4 linked regions of the Macaca fascicularis genome follow. The protein of the gene in region 1 interacts with the protein of each later gene in a pairwise test. Links are inferred from orthologs where the notes say so. Each region holds a gene or a part of one and is shown in the gene's direction. Other genes may lie near its edges.

Region 1 (5,375 bases):
CTATAGCACTATTTACAGAAATTGAGGTTATTTCTAAAATGAAAATAGAGAATATTCAAAATATTCCTAATATAGAAGAATGAAACAGAATTATCCCTAGCAGATACAGAGGTTTATTATAAAATTATAATTAATAAGATAATGTGGTTTTGTCACAACTATAGAAAAAATAATATAGGAACAGAACAGAATATAGCAATAAAGCTATGCATATATGGAAGCTTGATTTATGAACACAGATGAAACAGTGATCACTGGAAAAAAGCTGAGTTATTTAATAAATGAACCTGAGGCAATGTGTTATCCATTTAAAATAAAGTAAATTTAAGCCTATTCCTCAGACTATATACTAAAATCAGTACTTCATTGATTAACTACTTCAATTTGAAAGGAAAACTTTTTTTTTTCTTTTTGAGACAGGATCTTGCTCTGTTGCCCAGGCTGGAGTGCAGTGGTACAACCACCACTCACTGCAACCTCAACCTGTTGGGCTCAAGCGATCCTCCCACCTTAGCCTCCTGAGAAGCTGGGACTACAGGCACTGTGCCATCCCATTCCGCTAATTTTATTTTATTATATTTTATTTTATTTGTAGAGACAGGGTCCCATTGTGTTGGACAAGGCAACCTTTAAAACTCTTAGAAGAAGACACAATAGAAAATCTTAGTGGCCTCAGAAAATAGATTTTTTTTAAAAAAGAAAACACAAAAACACTAGTCATAAAAGAAATAGTAGATAAATTTAAACATATTAATATTAAGAGTTTCTAATCATCAAAAGATACTCTAAGAAAAGGAAAAAGAAACAGCATACATTGAGAGAAGATAGATAGTAGCAGCCATATAACTGTGTTCTCCAGGCAAGTTCCCATGATATGCTTATCAGAACACAAATGCAAGAATATCTGTAGCAGCTTACATATAGAAAAAAAAGAATTCAAATATATCCATGGACTTTTCGAAAATCCATGGACTTTTCCATGGAATGGAAAAATAGTGCTATACTGGCAGAATTTAGAATGCTGTACAATGATAAAAAATGAATAAATACAGTCTCTTGAATCAACATAGATATAGCAAAAAGCCTGCACTTAAGAACATTCCATTGATAAACCTAACAAACAAATAAAATTAAAGAGTATATTTTTAATGTTACGTGTTATGAAAAAAATTTGTTTTCTTTTTTAAGAAAGACTTGCAGATGATACACACAATTCAGGCCTGTGGCATTTTAGGTGGGGTAGACAGAGAAATACAATGTAAAAAGAACACTTAGCTTACTAGAAGCTATAATTATGAGAAATGCAATGTGAAAGAAACAGATTTCCTCCTAAACAAGATGCAATAATGTCAATAATATTCTAGTTCTGATAATGGATAAACCTTTAACGTCTGTTTGCTGTTTTTTTGTTTTGTTTTGTTTTTAACACATATGTTATATATATATATATATATATTTAAATGTATTAGGCAACTTCAATGAAGCTTTTAAAAGGAAAATATCTGTACAAAGTTGATGTGAATGATGTAGTATATAATCTTGGTGATTTAACAAATGTTGAGATTTTTTATTGTGACCATATTTTAAACAAATCACTAGATCAAATATTTGCTAAGTAAAATAAATGAATTAAGGTAGAAAATAAGAAGAATAGTTCAAAAGGAGAGAGGCTCAGTGAGAGGTGGAATGGTCAAATAAAGATTTGTGAAAGCAGCAGTGGTTTCTAATGGCAGAGAATGGCCTTTCAGATGCCACTTAATCAGTAGCTCCCAGAACATGTTTTAAATTGGTTCAGGAAATGACAGCTAGATATCAAATCCAAGAAGAACTTAGGAGTGAGGGGGCTTTGACCAACACAATATTATGTTAGCTCCAATTCACAGAAACTCTTTATAGACACAAGTACTTTGAGTAAATGACAAAGTTTTTGTCTAGTTCCATATTTTACACTGTGTGCTGTAAAATACAAATACAGTACTTTGTATGCACCTTTTGAAAGTTTAAAAATTATCATGAACGTACAACCTGATTAAATTCAATGTGGATTTATTTTTCTTTTCACTCCTTCAAGGTGTCTTTGTACAAGCCTTTGAGGAGCTACTTTTCATTGATGACACTAAGGAGAAGAAAATATCATTTTAATCATCTTTTTTCTTCTGTTTGTTTGTTCCCTTTCGTGGTTGAAGGTGAAAGTCTGGTTCCAAAACAGGCGGATGAAGTGGAAGAGGGTAAAGGGCGGACAGCAAGGAGCTGCGGCTCGGGAAAAGGAACTGGTGAATGTGAAAAAGGGAACACTTCTCCCATCAGAGCTATCGGGAATTGGTGCAGCCACCCTCCAGCAAACAGGGGACTCTCTAGCAAATGAAGACAGTCACGATAGTGACCACAGCTCGGAGCATGCGCACTTATGATATACACAGAGGACTAGCTCCATTCTCAGGAAAGAAATGTTGTGATGGCAAGCCTTACCCAAACATCGTTTACACAGAGAGATGACTATGGCAGTGATGTTTAATATTATTAAATCCAGGCATCTCGAATCTGTTTTTCATGATTTATAGAGGGTTTACACAAAGTGCCACTTATTAAAGAGCTTCACAGTGAAGATGGAGAAGGTGAACTTGCTTTGAATATTCCAGATGTGTTTGGTCCTGTGTATGGCAGTGAGCAGGTATGTATTTGCTTTTGCTTGCACTGAAAATTAAATTGCTATCAAGAGCAAACTATGAAACGTTTTTATTCAAGATGCCTCCAAAGTGAAGATGCCGAGGATGAACTTGCATTGAACATTCCAGATGTGTGAGGTCATGTGTATTACAGTGGGCAGGTATTTGCTTTTGCTTGCACTGAAAATTAAATTGCTATCAAGAATAAACCATGAAACATTTTATCCTGAACAGCCACAGTGCCTGAAATCACTCAAGTGGATAAAAAGTGTATTTTAACTCTGTATATATTACCCTTAAGTCATTTTCCTGTCTTCACTAATTGAGCAATGCATTCATATTAGCTGATGAAAATAGGCACTCACAATGACAACCAGAGCCAGCTTCTTGTCTTTTTTATACATTTTGTCATCCCAGAGACAATCAGTATGTGCTTACCTGTGTTCAAGTAGAGAAAAATACAGTAGAGTCTGATAGGACATATTCTTGTACCACAGACAAAACAAATCTTATGTTGCATTTACTATCAACTGCTGCTAATACATTATTATAAAACTTACCTAGCTCCTGAATTCTTCCTATCTTATAGCTTAAAAAAATTAGGATCATAGGCAAATCAGTTACCTTGCAGAAAGAGCTTTGTATGACAGACATTGCCTTATTTTATATCTGTAAAATATTAGCTGTATGAATATGATTTAATTAACAAGGAAACATTTCTTCCTGATTGACAACAGTGTTAGACAAGGTGCAAAGCAAAACTGATTGCTCAAGTTGATAGAAAACAAAATTCTGAATATCTTCAAATTAAATTCGGTAAAAACACATTATTTTTTTCATATGTGATGTATTCATGCAGAACAACAATCTTTGTATTTTGTTTTTAAAATGTGTTTAATAAATGATCCTTTGTAAATAACTTTGGTCTCCCTACTATAATTTCCTTAATTTTTATAGATTTCAATATCAATAATTAACAAAGTCTCAAATCTATCTCACTTGTGCAAATCCAGATGATTATAATTAGTGAATTATTTACGTATTTTCATTTCTGATTTTTTTATTATGGCAGGAAAAAAATCAATCCTTGTGTAATCAAAGGGTGCCTAAGAATGGAGATATATTAAGCTATTTCCCTAATTTGAAGAATACAGTGAATGGATTTTTGGTGTGTGTTTTATGAAGCCACAGATAAAAGTAGGAAAAAAGTATTAAATAATATTATTCAACACAGTGAGGACAATAAAATAGTCATACATTTTTAAAGTTATGTCTGATATATGTAAGTTAATCCAACAGTGGTTTTATAGTCTGAATATGCAGAGTCTCTGATGTGAAATATAAGCTAAACAAGCTAATCAGAGTCCTGAGTCCTAATGGGACTAATGTAAGAAGTAAAGGGTACTATTAATCTAATGTATTTTGCATCATGCCTGATTGTACACGCATAGGGTGCCTGAGTCCTACTTATAACTTTACCACACTGTTTTTCATTTGTTTCATATTCTAAGCGGAAATGCTTGGAAACATTGCCAGCCTTCCTTCCCTGCCACAATCAGAAACAAATACAGAAAAACAATCAGTAAAAATTTCCAAAAACTCATCAGTTAATTGATTTCACTTGCTTTAGAATGATTAGACTGGCAAAAATTAGATTCCATATATTTTAACTTAATCTAGCATGATATGTAGAGAGTATTCCAGAAATAAAGTAAATTTTTTTAGTATCACATTTTCCTTTTGTTGTAATACATTTTATCTCAGTAGTTGACAGTATTTTAAAATAGACCATTCAAATTGAAGTCTCCCAGACATGAAACAGACACTTTTCTATTAGTCATCTGAATTAATACAAAGTCTGTTTGTGCTGATGACATCTACTTGGGTGGACTGATTTTCTTATTGTAGAATAGGATTTAAATTCAAAACATCTCGACAAATTGGTGAAGTGGGAAGATGTAAATCAAATTGAGTTCAATAGGGACAAAGTGGAGGATAATTCATTTGGGCAGGAAAATAATTTCCAGAAATAAGAGAAAAGGACCCCTTAGAAGTAGCTAAAAGGTTGTAGCCAAATAGATGTAAGAATTCCAATTTAGTATGAAAATGAAATAGGAAAAAGGGATTCCAAATAGATATAACATTCAGGAAATAGGAGGCTTTTGTATCATGGCCATATCTTTATTAGAGAATTGTAAGCAATCCTAAAATGAAATTTGATCCGGAGAGCACAAAGTGGTAGGAAAGGCCACATGGCTGACTGAAAAGAGACACCGCTTTCTTTATGATGAATTAAAATGATCTGCCGCATAAGACACCTGACACATTATCACATTGTCAACACAATGACAATTAAACAGGGAAGCCAGAGCAATTTTTATTAGTGGAACTTGCTATTTTTAAAAAAGCGTTTCAGTATCCTCCTGTCTTCAAACTGATGGGTAGGTTAGCTACATTATACCCCAATATAATTTTAGAATTAAAATTCTTTGAGGAAAGTTAAGATATTCTCATGAACTATTTGGGCTTAATTCACTCCAAAGGTGCCAAAAATCTGAAAGAACTCTACTTGTTTTTAATCTACACTGGACTCCTGGCATGCCATGGTATCTTATTACATAATGCCCTTTTCATGTAATTCTATCACAGATCCTGTGGCTCTGTGGAAATTCATAATAGCATGAAAGCACCTTTCTCTGAAAATAGTAT
Region 2 (5,223 bases), on another chromosome or scaffold:
CAAGCACACGCTGAAGCTGAGGCACGCCATGGAGCAGAGGCCCAGCCAGGAGCTGCTGTGGGAGCTGCAGCAGCAGAAGGCCCTGCTCCAGGCCCGGGTGCAGGAGCTGGAGGCCTCCGTCCAGGTGGGGCCGCAGGCAGGGCGGGTGCAGCCCGGGCAGGACAGCCGGGGCCTTCCCAGCCAGGCCATTGCCTTTTGCCCCCTTCAGGAGGGGAAGCTGGACAGGAGCAGCCCCTACATCCAGGTACTGGAAGAGGACTGGCGGCAGGCACTGCGGGACCACCAGGAGCAGGCCAACACCATCTTCTCCCTGCGCAAGGACCTCCGCCAGGGCGAGGCCCGACGCCTCCGGGTAGGAGGGCAGGCAGGGCGACGCAGCTCCTGGGGGCCAAGCCACGCTGGGTGGGCTGAGCTCCGCCCACTCCGTGCCTGGAAGGTGGGGCCTGGGGACTCCTATGGCCTCCCCCCACATCCCAACTGGCCTGACCACATGCTCCTGAGCCCCTTCCCCGAGTACACCCCAAGGGCCAGAATGGGGGGCCTCAGGCCTGTGGGGGCTGAGCTGCTGCCCCTTGCAGTGCATGGAGGAGAAGGAGATGTTTGAGCTGCAGTGCCTGGCCCTGCGTAAAGACTCCAAGATGTACAAGGACCGCATTGAGGCCATCCTGCTGCAGATGGAGGAGGTTGCCATTGAACGGGACCAGGTGGGCACCTCACGGGGCGGGCAAAGCACCCCACTCACAGGTGGGTGCACAGGGCCACACCCCTTGAGGGCAGTTGTCACGGAGTTTTTAATCTTTGTTATTTGTTTTTGAGATGGGGTCTTGCTATGTCACCCAGGGTGGCCTCAAACTACTGGCCTCAAGCAGTCCTCCGGCCCCAGCCTCCCAGAGCGCTGGAGTTGCAGGCTGAGCTGCCACACCTGGCCTGCTTTTTAAATGACAGAAGTAATATTTAACATTAAAAAAAAGTAAACAGTGATGAAGTCAATACTTCCCTACCCCAGCCTGCTCTCAGGGAAAACTGTGTTCAACCTTCCGGCTCCACCTTACAGACTTTTACCTGTCATCCATCTATCCATCCATCCATCCATCTATCATCTATCTATTTATCTATCAATCATCTATCATCTATCTATCAATCTATCATCCATCTATCTATCAATCATCTATCAATCATCTATCATCCATCCATCTATCTATCATCTATCTATCTATTATCTATCACCTATCTATCTATATATCTTTTTGATTTTATGAAAACATTCTGTCTTGTTTTACCAGTAGCTTTTTTTTTTTTTTTTTTTTTTGAGACGGAGTCTCGCTCTGTCACCCAGACTGGAGTGCAGTGGCCGGATCTCAGCTCACTGCAAGCTCTGCCTCCCGGGTTCCCGCCATTCTCCTGCCTCAGCCTCCCGAGTAGCTGGGACTACTTTTGCTGGGACTACAGGCGCCCGCCACCTCGCCCGGCTAGTTTTTTGTATTTTTTAGTAGAGACAGGATTTCACCGGGTTAGCCAGGATGGTCTCAATCTCCTGACCTCGTGATCCACCCGTCTCGGCCTCCCAAAGTGCTGGGATTACAGGCTTGAGCCACCGCGCCCGGCACCAGTAGCTTTTTTTAATCTTGAAAAAAAACTTGGCTGGACGCAGTGGCTCTTGCCTGTAATCCCAGCACTTTGGGAGGCTGAGGCGGGCAGATCACTTGAGCCCAGGAGTTCCAGAGCAGCCTGGGCAACATGGTGAGATCCCAACTCCATAAAAAATACAAAAATTGGCCGGGCATGGTGGCTCATGCCTGTAATCCCAGCACTCTAGAAGGGCGAGGCAGGTGGAACACTTGAGGTCACGAGATCAAGACCAGCCTGGCCAGTATGGTGAAACCCCGTCTCTACTAAGAATATAAAAATTAGCCGGGTGTAGCGGCGGGCACCTGTAGTCCCAGCTACTCAGGAGGCTGAGGCAGGAGAATCGCTTGAACCCAGGAGGCAGAGGTTGCAGTGAGCTGAGATCACACTACTGCACTCTAGCCTGGGTGACAGAGCAAGACTCCAACTCAAAAAAAAAAAAAAAAAATTGGCGTGGTGGTGCATGCCTGTGGTCCCAGCTATTTAGGAGGCTGAGGCTACAGCAAGTCACCATTGCGCTACTGCACTCCAGCCTGGGCCACCGGAGTGAGGCCTGCAAGGCCTCGAGTGCTACATGCTGTGAGCCGGATAGAGCGTCACGGGGCAGGGCTGTGTCTGCTTCCTATGCCCCGTCCCGAGTCCCATCCTGGAGGTTGTCTCCAATGGACACCACTGCTTCTTCGGCGAAATTCTGGATGGCAGTTTGTCCACATCAGGAGCCTTAAAACGAGACCCCTGGGGCCATAAAGCAAGCCCTGGCCACCATGAGAGCAGCACAGGCTCAGAACTCCTGTGCGGCCCCACCACAGCCTCACTCACGCCTGGCCCACCCCAAGATGGGGAAAAAAGGGCAGATCCAGTCGTGCCCCCATAGGGGTTGGTGTGGCTCCCAGGGCGAGGGCTCCCACGGGGCTGTGCGGGGGCAGGTAGGCCAGGGATTAGGGAAGCTGCCAGCCATTGCTCCAGTCCAGTGGCAGGGGTTAGGTGAGGGCCTCCCAGCCTCGGCTGCAGGGGTGGTCACGCCGTCATGTTTGCACGTTCGCTCCTGTACCTACCTCAGCATCTGCAGTGGGGACAGGGGTGGTGAAGAGTGCTGCGCTCATGAAGGAGTTTTAGCCATGGACAGTCAGGGTCCCCATATCAAGCCACATCCAAAATTTATCAAATGTGCACGTGTGTGTGTGTTGGGGGGGCCGGTGCACAGCACACGCTGTGTCCACCGGGGGTGCAGGCTTCGGAGGAGACAGAAGGGCAGCAGGGACAACTGTCACCTTTACAATCCCTCAGATGCTGACTTCATGTTCACAGAGCACATAAAGGGAGGGGCTGTGGCCAGCCTCCACACCCAGCGGCTTGACGTCCTCCGGGGCCTCTGCTCGGAGCTGGGCAGCCAGGCCGAGGGCCCAGGGCGAGCTTGGGGGCCTCACTGAGGGTCGGCCTTGCACTGTCCCATCAGGCCATCGCCACACGGGAGGAGCTGCACCTGCAGCATGCCCGGGGCCTGCAGGAGAAGGACGCACTGCGCAAGCAGGTGCGGGAGCTGGGTGAGAAGGCAGATGAGCTGCAGCTGCAGGTGTTCCAGCGTGAGGCGCAGCTACTGGCCGTGGAGGGCAGGCTCAGGCGGCAGCAGCTGGAGACGCTCGTGCTGGTGGGCCTGGGGCCTGGGGCAGGGAGGGGAGCCAGCGGGTGGGACGCAGGGCCGGGGGAACATGGGCCTTCCTGACCCAACCCTCCTCTGTGACGGGCCCCCACCTAACCGAACCCCCCCTCGCAGTGGGGTGAGGGCACAGGAGCAGCTCAGGGCCCCAGCAGGAAATGGGGCTGCAGGGCCAGGGTGGGTGCTGGGCCTGGCCATCAGGCAGCCTAGCACGTTGCTCTGGGCATGGAGGGGGCCTGGCGTGGCTAAGGGCATGCCCAGGGCTCCCTGGAGGATCCCGCTCTGTGCCCTGCCCACCCTGTGCCTGGGGAGCCCTCTGCCCCCACAGCCCACCCACCCCGTTTTCTATGACCACAGAGCTCCGACCTGGAGGATGGCTCACCCAGGAGCTCCCAGGAGGTGAGTGAGACCCCAGCCGGCACGAGGCTGGCCTTCCTTCACCTGGGGTTCTGGCTGAGCCGCCACCAGGCACAGCCCCACACTGCCCGTCACGTGGCCCTGCTCAGTGGGCTGGGCTCGGTGGAGGAAGAGCAGGTGGCCAAATACTAAGGCCTCCGACGGCTCAAGGGGTAAGGCAAGGCATGGACAGTGCCCAGCTCCTGCATCCTCATGGCGGGACCTTCCTAGCTGGCCTCCCCCACATCCGTCTGCTGAGCACCTGAGTCTCTGAGAAGCTCTGTGCAGGGGGTGATGGCAACGGCCGGGGTGGGCAGTGTGGCCGGGTCCAGTCCTTGGCGGGGTGACCTAACGGGACATCTTGCCTCTCTTCGGAAGCTCTCGCTCCCCCAGGACCTGGAGGACACCCAGCTCTCGGACAAAGGTAAGGTGGGGACGGCAGTGCACCTGGAGGCCTCCCGGCTGCCCCAAGCGAGGCCCATCTTCAGCACAGGCAGCCCGTGCCGCAATGCCTGTCTCAGCCCCCACAACCCCCACCCCACAGACGGAAACTAGGGCTGGGGATAAGTAAAATGGCCAAGGTCACCCAGAGAACAAACTACAGAGCCCAGTGGAACCCGGGGCCCAGCTGGTGGGACAAGTGTCCCCTGGGGTGGAGAGTGTGGGGCCCCTCTGGGCAGCCCCCCGGGGTGCAGAGGTGAGCAGGCCCACTGTCCTGAGAGTGTGGGGCCCCTCTGGGCAGCCCCCCGGGGTGCAGAGGTGAGCAGAGGGAGGTGGTGATGAGCAAATGCCCAGGGGTACAAAGCTAGAAAGTGGGGCAAGACGGGGCCCCACGTGGCTTGAGGGACAGGGCCGAATGCAGGGGTGGCCAAGGGCCTGCTGTGTCCCGGTGCAGTGGGGGTAAGGCAGTGGTGGGGGCTTCTAGCGGGCAGGGCAGGCCCCCTGTGCCTCTCTGGGGGAAGAACTGGAGTGGCTGGCTGGGAGCAGCCCCCGAGTGCCCAGGAGCGGATAGTGGTGATGAGGTAGGTGTTTGCTCTGAAGGTGGTGTCAGGTGGGAGTCGGGGAGGACCCAGCAGAGGGGCCCTGGGAGGCTGCGTGGGAGTTGGACGAGCTTCCCGAGCACCAGGCTGTGGCCTCCAAGCAGAGGCGGAAGGGGAGGGAGGAGCCGCAGATGGGGAAGTGAAGACCAGCACCTTTGGCCGCAGCCCAGAACACTTGAACTTGGGGACGCCAAGCCCCCATGTAGGCACAGAGGCGAGCAGACCCAGGAGTCCAGCTCAGGCACTGCCACCATCTCCCTGGGTGGCTGTGGCAGGAGTGGGGGCAGGCATGAAGGTCCGAGGGTGAGCAGGGGAGAGGCTGGCTCTAAGGAGGGGTTGCCAATGGCCAGGACAGCCCTGGCCTGGCCTTCCCCACAGCGGGGCTGAGACTGGACATGCATGGTTTCTGCCCAAGGGTCCTGACCCCTGGTCTGCCCAGGTCCTGGTGGGTTCTGAGGGGGTCTAGCCACCTGAAGGTTCTCTCCCAATTGTGCAGTACCCCTG
Region 3 (5,069 bases), about 75 Mb from region 1:
TTAAACCCCTGTGCACATTTCTAATAGTTATTGTACTATCCTTGTCTGCTCATTCCATGCTCTTGTCATTTCTGAATCTCCTTCTAATTGACTGATGTTTCTTCTGGTCAAGTGACATTTTCCTACATTTTTTTTCTCTGAATTATTTTTCTCTGCAGCTTGAAGTTATTTAGATGTGCTTTAAAGCTTTTTCAGGACAGATCTAGGGTAGTCTTTATTCTAGGCCTATTTTAGCAAACATCTTCAGCATGACCATTCTATAACTGTATTAAATGCTCTGATTATTCAATGAGGTCTCTTCAGTGTGGTTGGTTGGAACATAAACGTCTCCCAGCCCTCTGAGCCCTCTGGTTTTTGCCTGGCCTATGACTTTCATTCTGTACATGCACACGTTAGTGTCATTCTGACACAAATTCAGAGACACTTCCGTGCAGATTATTAGGGTTCTTTCTATACACAGCTCTCGCACGCGCTCTATCTCCCCTCTCCATTCAGGGAAACCACTGTGCTTTCTTGTGCTGCCCCTCCCTACATTGCTGTCCAAAAATTGCTGGCAGCCAGAAAACGAGGAAAATTGTAGGACTCCTCCTTTTTGTTTCTCTGTTCTCAGACATCATGGTTCCATTCTGCCCGTTTTCTAATGTCTGAAGACTGTCATTTCATTGATTGTGTCCAGTATTTCAGTTACTTTTGGCTGGAAGGGAAGTTACTCCTGATTTTCCTGTTACTCCTTCATGGACAAAAACAGAAATCTTACTTCATTTTTGTTATCTTTGTTGTTTTGGAGTTTGTGTTTTATATGGGAGAGGGCTGTGTCTGAGGGAGCTGTAGTGAAGTGGGGACAGTGTTGGAGGGACACCCAAGCCCTGTCTAACCTCTCGTGCTTCTCCTTTCTCCGCCAGGCGTCATTGCTGTGGTGATTTTCACTATCCTCTGCACCCTGGTCTTCCTGATCCGGTACATGTTCCGCCACAAGGGCACCTACCATACCAATGAAGCCAAGGGGGCGGAGTCGGCAGAGAGCGCAGACGCCGCCATCATGAACAACGACCCCAATTTCACAGAGACCATTGATGAAAGCAAAAAGGAATGGCTCATTTGAGGGGTGGTTACTTGGCTATGGGATAGGGAGGAGGGAATTACTAGGAAGGAGAGAAAGGGACAAAAGCACCCTGCTTCATACTCTTGAGCACATCCTTAAAATATCAGCACAAGTTGGGGGAGGCAAGCAATGGAATATTCTTGAGACTGATGACAAAAAAAAAAAAAAAAATTTAATATTTCTTTATAGCTGAGTTTTCCCTTCTGTATCAAAACAAAATAATACAAAAAAATGCTTTTAGAGTTTAAGCAATGGTTGAAGTTTGTAGGTAATATCTGTCTTATTTTGTGTGTGTTTAGAGGTGTTCTAAAGACCCGTGGTAACAGGGCAAGTTTTCTACATTTTTAAGAGCCCTTAGAACATGGGTATTTTTTCTTGAGAAAAGCTGATGCACCTACATATGGCCCCCAACATTCTCTTCCTTTTGCTTCTAGTCAACCTTAATGGGCTGTTGTAGTAACTAGTTCGTGTTCATATACTATTTCCTTTGATGTCCTATAAGTTGGAAAAGAAAGGGGCAAAGAGAACCTATTATTTGCCAGTTTTCAAGCAGAGTTCAATCTATGCCAGCTCTCTGGCATCTGGGGTTCCTGACTGGTAACAGCAGTTGAAGCAAGAGAGTGCATGGCACCTGGTGTGTAACGACACAATCAGCACAACTGGAGAGAGGCATTAAAGAACCAGAGAAGGCAGTTTATATTGGGGTTGTTGGTTTTTCATTGAATTCTACAAGCTAATATTGTTCTAATATGTAGTCTTAGACCAATTCAATATCTGTAACTATCAGCTGCAATACCATGGTGACCAGCTGTTACAAAAGATTTTTTCCTGTTTTATCTGAAACATACTGGATTTATATATGTATAAGCGCCTCAATGGGGTATTAGAGCCAGATGTTATGATTTGTTTGCACTTTTTCTTTTAAAGTTGTAGCGAACGTATGGATAATTTCTAGTGAATGCATAAATTAGGTTGCGCTTCTTATTTTGCTTTAAGTCTCTGGTAGTTTTTCCACCCCTGTGATAAAATCCTAATAGACCGTGTCCTATAAATGGATGCAACACAATAAAGTTATTACGGCTGTTACTCTGGATGATATGGAAAACACTGCCATATTTTAAATCAACTACTCCACGTGTTTTTCCATGCAATCACACTGCTGTGATTCAGGGATCTTCTGAGATGGACACATTTGAACCTCAAGTTCCTCACAAACCTGGTACCTGTTGCTTCTCAGACGATGGACAAGTGTAGTTAGTCACACCTCTTAGTTTAATCTGAAACCTTGACCCAGTTGTGTAACAAATAACTCATTGATTATATTTAAAAATAATACACTTCATGTAAACAAATGGGGACAATGCATCCAAAAATAATCTTATTTTTTAAACAGATTATACAAAAATTATTTCTAGAAAGACTACCATTTGTGATCATTATATTTCAAGCCTCTTATACTTAATAAGCACTTTTTTAAAAATCTTGAGATCCCACCATTCTGAGGAATTAAATATCACTTTTTCCTTCTTTGCCTGGGAGAGGTTAAGAGGAGGTTTCAGAGGTATAGATGCTATTGTTCTGATGGCCCGGCTCAATAAAATGGAAATTCTAGTTGGTTAGAATAATGCATTTTTTTTTTTCAAGATTCTCAGTATGCCTAACTTATTGGGGCATGTCAGTTTCTTGGGTAATGGAAAACATTACCTAGAGTTGCTAGTGGCACATTACACCAGTACACAGCACATTCCAAAAGACACATTGGACCAGTTAATTCCCATGCAAGTCAAGGTAACAGAACAAAAGGGAATCCTGATGCCCTTTTACCATTGCTGGTTGAGCTCAGGCACTGTCATGGACACCCTTAATTTTAAAAGGTTTTAATCATTCTTCTATAAAATACATTTAAAGTGGAAAAACATTTAATATCACTAAATATCAGAACAATGTAACATTTACAAATGAAATATTGAAAGCAAAGGCTGTTTTATTTAGCCAAGATGACTACCATTAGGAGTTACTGTATGTATTGTTGAACGCAAATTTTAAACATAACATTTTAAAAGTGTTTCTGATTTTTAAACCTGGTTTACAGGTATTACTCCTGTACTTACCAAATAACGCCCGATGGAAATTTATTATTTCTTGCAATTCCCACGATAGCTCTGTTCATTATGCATTGTCAACACTTTTCCTTTTTTCCCCAAAATGAGTAGGGGATTAAAGTCACCCAAAACAGCTTCTGCTACTAAAATGTTCTCATCCTTTCTCCTCCCGCAAAAGGTGAAAAATGAGATCCAATCCTCTCACCAAAATTTCAAACCTAGGACACTGGAATGACTGCAGGGATCAGTGGTTCTCCCATATCACCATCAATTAAGACATATAGGATACTCTCTCTCTCTCTCTTCAAGAGGGTTACAATATGGCCATCAGACAGGAAACCAAAAGGTGGATAAAGTATTAAGTAATTAAGTGCCAAATAAATGCTGGAAATCTTGACCTCTTCTTGGGATTATGAGTTTAACAAAAATCCCTACATCTGCTTATGAAGGCCATATCCAGTACATTTTAAGTGGTAAATAATATATTTATGTGAAGAAAAGGAATTAACTCTTTCTTCCAACTCTCTCCCTGGACAGCCTAACACAGTGCAGCCTCGATAACCATGACATTCCCACCCAAGCTCTCAGTGCCTAATCCTGCTTTGTCATTCACTTCTCACACAATCTTGACATCTTATATTCCAATACATTATCAAGCAAGCACAAGTATATTGGTAGTAGCCTCTTTAAATAATATGTATAGACAACAACAACAACAAAATAGGCTGTTCTAAAGTTTCAGGGAAAGTTAATGGCGGATTTAAGGTTGTGCAGGAAACATCTGTGTATGAAGCAAATATCGATGTTTTGGAAAGATAGGAGATGACTTTGAATGAATGCAAGGTTAGTGCGACTCTAAGCTCTCAAAATAGCAGACTCCCTAGAGTTCAAGAAAGCTGGTCCAGGAGGTTGAAAAAGTTGTTTTATTGTTAAATTATTTTCTGGCCCTTCTTAATATTTAAAAATATATTTCCCCTTGTGGCTTTCAACCAACTGCTCAAAGAGACTTGTTATGTGGAAGTTTTCATTAAAGAGCTGAAAACAAGAATTTAGACAGCCTTTACTAGAAAATGTCCTACTGCCCTGCATTTGACAAACAAGCATCCTTTACTAACAAGAACAGGAATTCAGAGGCACAAGAAAAAGCAATGGCATGAGCCAAAGAGTCTATCTTAATATTACTTTTGAACATCTGCTGAGCAGCCACCATATATGCAGGCTGAGAGCTGGGCACAGACAGAAGCCACTGGAAGCACTTCAGGAACAAGCACACAGCTATGGGACTTGAACATGCAAGTGTTCAGGTCGCGTCAAGAAGCTTTTCTTTCCTTCTATGATGCAATCTGTTCTTTTCGATCCTACTTTTTTCTCTCTTCCTCTCCTTGCCACACTATATCCTGCTCTTACGCAGCAAACTTTTTAATGGCCCCTTTATGTTTCATGCCTCCAAACAACACTGAATTTGAAACCCCCCCTTTTGGCCGGGCGCGGTGGCTCACGCCTGTAATCCCAGCTCTCAGGGAGGCAGAGGCGGGAGGATAGCTTGAGCCCAGGAGTTCGAGACCTGCCTGGGTAATACAGCGAGACCCCGTTCTCCACAAAAAGGAAAAAAAAAAAGAAACCCCCCCTTTTCTTTTCACCACTCTGTTGAGCAATTTTCCCAAAAAAAGGCAGCAATTATTAAACTTAATTCAAGTGAGCCAGTCAAAGATAGGTCCTAAATTGCTAGTCCCAATAGAACCACCTGATCCTAAACCAGTGAGAAACAAACAGTAACAATATCCGCCGCTGACTTCAGCTAAGAATCAATGGCCCCTGCCCACCTCCCCCTCAACTTTTCTTTCTTTTGAGACGGAGTCACACTC
Region 4 (5,375 bases), on another chromosome or scaffold:
CAGAGCCACACATTAGCAGCTCTTGAAAAACACCAGCCAGGCCGGGCATGGTGGCTCACGCCTATAATCCCAGCACTTTGGGAGGCCAAGGTGGGCAGATCACAAGGTTAGGAGTTCAAGACCAGCCTGGCCAAGAGGGTGAAACCCCATCTCTACTAGAAATACAAAAACTAGCCAGGCATGGTGGCATGTGCCTGTAATCCCAGCTACTTGGGTGGCTGAGGCAGGAGAATTGCTTGAACCCAGGAGGAGGAGGTTGCAGTGAGCCAAGATCATACCACTGCACTCAAGCCTGGGTGACAGAGCAAGACTCTGTCTCAGAAAGAAAAATACCAGCCATATAGATCAAGGAAGAAAGGGCCCTGCCAGATTAAGAACAGAGATGGATGGACAGGCATGGTGGCTCATGCCTGTAATTCCAGCACTTTCCGGGGCTGAGGTGGGCAGATCACTTGAGGCCAGGAGTTCAAGACCAGCCTTGCCAACATGATGAGACCCTGTCTCTACTAACAATACAAAAATTAGCAGGGTGTGTTGGCAGGCGCCTGTGATCCCAGCTACTTGGGAATCTGAGGCATGAGAATTGCTTAAACCTGGAGGCAAAGGTTTCAGTGAGCCAAGATCGTACCACTGCACTCCAGCCTGGGCAAGAGAAGAAGACTCTGTCAAAAAAACAAACAAACAAAAAAAAAACAACCAGGGATGAGGCCACCTGGCTTAGCCCTTCTGCATCACCCTAGTAAGTGTCTGAAAAGATCTGGAGCCCATCTTGCTCAAATCAAGTCAGTGAATACTCTCAAGCACAAAAAGGGTACTTAATCATCCTGTCATCTAGGTAGAATGCAGACCATGGAATTAAGAAGACAGTTGTTTCACCGTGTGTGAACCCAGGGCTGGTGAGGGGAGGCACAGGTTGCCATAGATCCCTTTAATAAAGAAGAAATTGAATATTCATGAGGTATAAGAGGAGAACTCTTCCTTTAGTAAAATCAGTGTTCCACATGCTTGGCATAAGCCTCGTATGTTAAATCTCTGCCTTGGAAAAGTAGATATATACTTCTCTGCACCCTATCCCAACCCACATAATTATTTTGGTGTTTAACTCAGAGAAGTTTCTTTAAAGCCTAGGTTACTGCTTGTGCTTATACTCTTCGAAGCTGGGACACTGATGAGTCCTCAAAGCAAGCAGTGGTGTTGTACTCTTTTAATCTGGTCCAATAAACTCTTTGTTGTCTCTTTTAGCATTCCTCCTTGATAATTTAAAAAACCTACTTAAAATTGATAAGCTTTCTTTCCCACAGTTCCTACTGATGATTTTCATCTTTATAACAATCTACAATAAAAACATTAGGTAAAAAAAACTTTCGTATGCTGCTTAAGAGTTACAAAGTATTTCCACTCACAATGTATCTTTACATTATGATTTGATTCTACAACAATCTCATGAGGTTGCTATTAGTCTCTCCATTTTACAGATGAAGAAACTGAGGCTCAGAGGGGTTAAGTGACTTGCCTAAAGTCATGGAGCTACTAATACATGGCGGAGCCAGGAGTAAAAATTCAATCTTCTGACTCTAATCCTGTGTATTCCCTCTGCTCTGTGTAGATTTCACTTTTCTCTGATGGTTTCTTTTCTTGAGTCTTATGTGGGCTTTGTCAGCCATTCAGCTCATCATCGCTTTGTCTCTCAGATACCTCAGTCTTCCAGATTGACACATAGTAGTCATTGTTCTTCACATAACTGCACAAAGTGAAGCAGGTCTCCAGTTACCACAAGCCGGGCCACTGAGGTTCCAATGTGCTCCCTCAGATCAGTGACGGGTGGCTAAATAGAGCAAGGCTCAGCATAACCTAGGCATGGTGTGAGTTCTCAGCAAGTTCACGGAGCTGAATCAGTCTACAAAAAAAAGCCTATTGGGACCTGTAGTGTTGCACCAGAGGAAACAAAGATGAACCTTGAGGTTTCTAGGATAGGTTTAGTGGTGCTGATGTCTAGAGATACAGAGATGAATCAGATGACCTTTAGAAGCTCATCCTTAGCAAGAATTTTGTTACCCTCTTCTGTCTTGCTTGCAAACCTTTGTTTACCTTCAATTAATGAACTATTTTGTTACAGCGTTTAACAGTTAAGCTCAAATCATATTGTCCCACTTCACTAACTGACTTTAAGCAAGTTGTCTAAATTCTCTCAGCCTCAATGTTTGCTTCTGTAAAATAAGGATAGTAATACCTAAATCATAAGATTCGCTATGAGGATAAATCACACAATTTATAATTATCACTAATGTACATTAATTATTTATAAAGTGCCCATCATGGTCCCCATCCCTTTCTCAGTAATCACATGTTTAATTGTAGGTACTAACATTAGCCCCATCTTATAGATGAGAAACCTGAGGCACAGAGATGTTGAGTGACTGGCCCAAGGTCACACAGCTTGTAAGTGGTATGGCTGGGATTTAAAACTAGTCTTGTTCCCGAGGGCAAGTGGCAACTTCCACACTCTAGGGTCTCATTTGCAGGTTCAACAAGGTGAAATAATGTTTATGAAGTCCCTGGAATACTATCAGGCATATTAGTAGAAGCTTAATGAATAGTGGTTATAGTTACTATATTTAACCTCCAAAAATCTTTTCAAACAAGGTTATATCTGTTATGTAAATGTCAATATCACACTTGTCACCTCCTATTTCAAAATCTGTTTTTTAGTTGACAAATTAGAAGAATAATTCAGAGGTACGTTTATTTTATTTGTTATCTTTTATTTTATTTATGACAGTCTCACTCTGTCACCCAGACTAAAGTGCAGTGGTGTGCTCTCAGCTCACTCTCCTGTGTTCAAACGATTCTCATGCATCAGCCACCCAAGTAGCTGGGACTACACACCACATCTGGCTATTTTTGTTTGTTTGTTTGTATTTGTAGTAGAGATGAGGTTTCACCATGTTGATTGACCAGGCTGGTCTCAAACTCCTAACCTCAAGCCATCCTCTCATCTTGGCCTCCCAAAGTGCTGGGATTACAGGTGTGAGCCACTGTGCCTGGCCAGATGGATCTCTTTTTTTGAGATGGAGTCTCACATTATCGCCTAGGCTGGAGTGCAGTGGCATGATCTCAGCTCACTGCACTCTCCACCGCCCAGGTTCAAATGATTCTCCTGCATCAACCTCCCAAGTAGCGGGGATTACAGGCACATGCTACCACATCTGGATAATTTTTGTATTTTTAGTAGAGACAGGGTTTCACCATGTTGGCCAGGCTGGTCTCAAACTTCTAACCTCAAGTGATCCAACCATGTTGGCCTCCCAAAGTGCTATAATTACAGGTGTGAGCCACTGCACCCAGCCTGGATGGATTTTTTAAATGTACCTCTGAATGGCCAGGCCAACATAGTGAGACACTCATCACTATTTAAAAAAAAAAAAATTTTTTTTTTAATCCTTCCATTCTCTGATGCCAGCCATTAACCACAACGTAAAGCATGAATTTGGAGAGGCACATGGTAGAAAAAGGCAATGGTAGCTAGCAACAATGGAGATGCTACTAGGTGTGATAAGCACTAGGTCTTTTCATATGTGTTAGTTACCCAGTTTAACTTTCACAAATAATGGGGGAGGGATTGGCCCAATTTACAGGTAAGAACACTGGGAATCATTGGATTCATTAGTGTTATTAGCAATGAATCTAATGAGTAAGGTAAAGAGGCTAAAGTCACCCAGCTTGTAAATGAAACCTGACTACCACGTTTTTCCACTGCACCCAATTTAGGAGCAAAGCTTAGTATTCCATCGTTTCTTCTCCCTCGGTTTCAGGTATTACGCAGACAACTCCACCGGCCGGTGTGAGAGGTGCCACAGGATCTGCAAGGGGTGCCGGGGCCCACGGCCCACAGACTGCCTGTCTTGCGAGAGATTTTTCTTTCTGCTCCGCTCCAAAGGAGAGTGTCGTCCCTCCTGCCCAGACCATTACTATGTAGAGCAAAGCACACAGACCTGTGAGAGATGCCATCCGACTTGTGGTCAATGCAAAGGTAAGAGTCTGTCATTTTGCATGTGTGCGTAGAAAAATGAAAAGGTTTTCTTCCTTCTTTGCCCCTTTCTCTCTTCTCACCACCTGGGAGGTTCCTCTTGCTTCCCCACCTCGTGTGTGATCCTCTCCAGCATCAGCGCCCTCTGTTGGCTCTTAACTTCTGCCTCTTCCCTCTAACCTGGGCTGCTCCTGCCCATCCCCCATCCTTCAAGGCCCAGAGACAGGCATCATCTCCTTGAGGAAGCACTGTTCGTCCACTCATCATTTTCCTATTCTACCTGATGAATCTGTCTGGGGGGATTTATTTATTTTCATGACTTGCACTATTCCCTGAGACTTGTGCCTCAAACTCTCCCAAGTTCCATACCTCTTTTACAGAAACTTGGCTGTCTGTCCAAGAGATCCTCAAGGCTCACCATCTACCCACGAGCCCAGGCTGATACTTTGAAGTTCTCCTCGACTCTTCTTCCCTTGTCACCTGCCCAACCCACCCACCTCCAACAAAGCTAAACTTCAAGATCTGTTGATTCTCTTTCCCAAATAGTTATCTAATGAGATCTTTTTCCACCCTCACTACCCTCATCTTCCATTTTTAGTATCTAGTATCACACCTTTTGAAGCAGCCAGCAGGTCACCCCAACTCTGAATCTTGCCCCCACACCAGGTCATCTGGTATACTAATGCCACAGTGAGTGCCCTGAAATTCAAATTTCTCGTTTTTCTCTACACCTTGCCATAAATATGTGATCACCGTGAATGCTTCTCAATATTTAAGAAAGAAATACTTCCATATTTTAATTGTTAAAACTTTCTACAAAAAATATTATTAGCTGGTAGGATACATACCTGTGCTTTTCAAAATTATCTTGGCTGTGCTTAGTTCTTTTATGTAAATACGTAATGAGTCCAGTTTCATTTTTTAAAAATCTTTCATTTTTAAAAAGTATTTTGATACTGAGTGGCGTTGCATTGAATTTATTTTGGAGAAAATCCCACCTTTACAATCCTGAGTTATATTTATGAATGTGGTATATCTCTCCATTCTATGCATTTACTTATTACACTTCAGTAAAGTTTTAATAAGTGTTTTTTGTTTGTTTGTTTGTTTGTTTGTTTTTTGAGATGGAGTATCGCTCTGTCACCCAGGCTGGAGTGCAGTGGCATGATCTCAGCTCACTGCAACCTCCGCCTCCCAGGATCAAGTGATTCTCCCGCCTCAGCCTCCTGAGTAGCTGGGATTACAGATGCACACCACCATGCCCAGCTAATGTTTGTATTTTTAGTAGAGACGGGGTTTCACTATGTTGGTCAGGCTGGTCTCGAATTCCTGACATCATGATCTGCCC

What was found. The genes of interacting proteins can lie anywhere in the genome.
Region 2: the proteins of MEOX2 (region 1) and CARD9 interact in binary tests that used the Homo sapiens proteins (3 or more experiments, as listed by UniProt). The two-hybrid records come from large-scale screens. The link is inferred for Macaca fascicularis from reciprocal best matches to the Homo sapiens genes MEOX2 and CARD9.
Region 3: the proteins of MEOX2 (region 1) and CNTNAP2 interact in binary tests that used the Homo sapiens proteins (3 or more experiments, as listed by UniProt). The link is inferred for Macaca fascicularis from reciprocal best matches to the Homo sapiens genes MEOX2 and CNTNAP2.
Region 4: the proteins of MEOX2 (region 1) and PCSK5 interact in binary tests that used the Homo sapiens proteins (3 or more experiments, as listed by UniProt). The two-hybrid records come from large-scale screens. The link is inferred for Macaca fascicularis from reciprocal best matches to the Homo sapiens genes MEOX2 and PCSK5.

What each region holds. Positions count from the first base shown.
Region 1 is NC_088377.1:114,576,391-114,581,765, forward strand, and holds the end of MEOX2 (homeobox protein MOX-2), read left to right. Parts: intron 1-2,186; coding exon 2,187-2,411; 3' UTR 2,412-3,585; downstream 3,586-5,375. UniProt on the Homo sapiens protein: Mesodermal transcription factor that plays a key role in somitogenesis and somitogenesis and limb muscle differentiation. Required during limb development for normal appendicular muscle formation and for the normal regulation of myogenic genes.
Region 2 is NC_088389.1:3,001,536-3,006,758, forward strand, and holds part of CARD9 (caspase recruitment domain-containing protein 9), read left to right. Parts: coding exon 1-124; intron 125-208; coding exon 209-352; intron 353-578; coding exon 579-704; intron 705-3,082; coding exon 3,083-3,274; intron 3,275-3,640; coding exon 3,641-3,682; intron 3,683-4,057; coding exon 4,058-4,103; intron 4,104-4,720; coding exon 4,721-5,002; intron 5,003-5,223. UniProt on the Homo sapiens protein: Adapter protein that plays a key role in innate immune response against fungi by forming signaling complexes downstream of C-type lectin receptors.
Region 3 is NC_088377.1:190,060,431-190,065,499, forward strand, and holds part of CNTNAP2 (contactin-associated protein-like 2), read left to right. Parts: intron 1-902; coding exon 903-1,102; 3' UTR 1,103-5,069. UniProt on the Homo sapiens protein: Required for gap junction formation. Required, with CNTNAP1, for radial and longitudinal organization of myelinated axons.
Region 4 is NC_088389.1:107,034,785-107,040,159, forward strand, and holds part of PCSK5 (proprotein convertase subtilisin/kexin type 5), read left to right. Parts: intron 1-3,812; coding exon 3,813-4,030; intron 4,031-5,375. UniProt on the Homo sapiens protein: Serine endoprotease that processes various proproteins by cleavage at paired basic amino acids, recognizing the RXXX[KR]R consensus motif. Likely functions in the constitutive and regulated secretory pathways.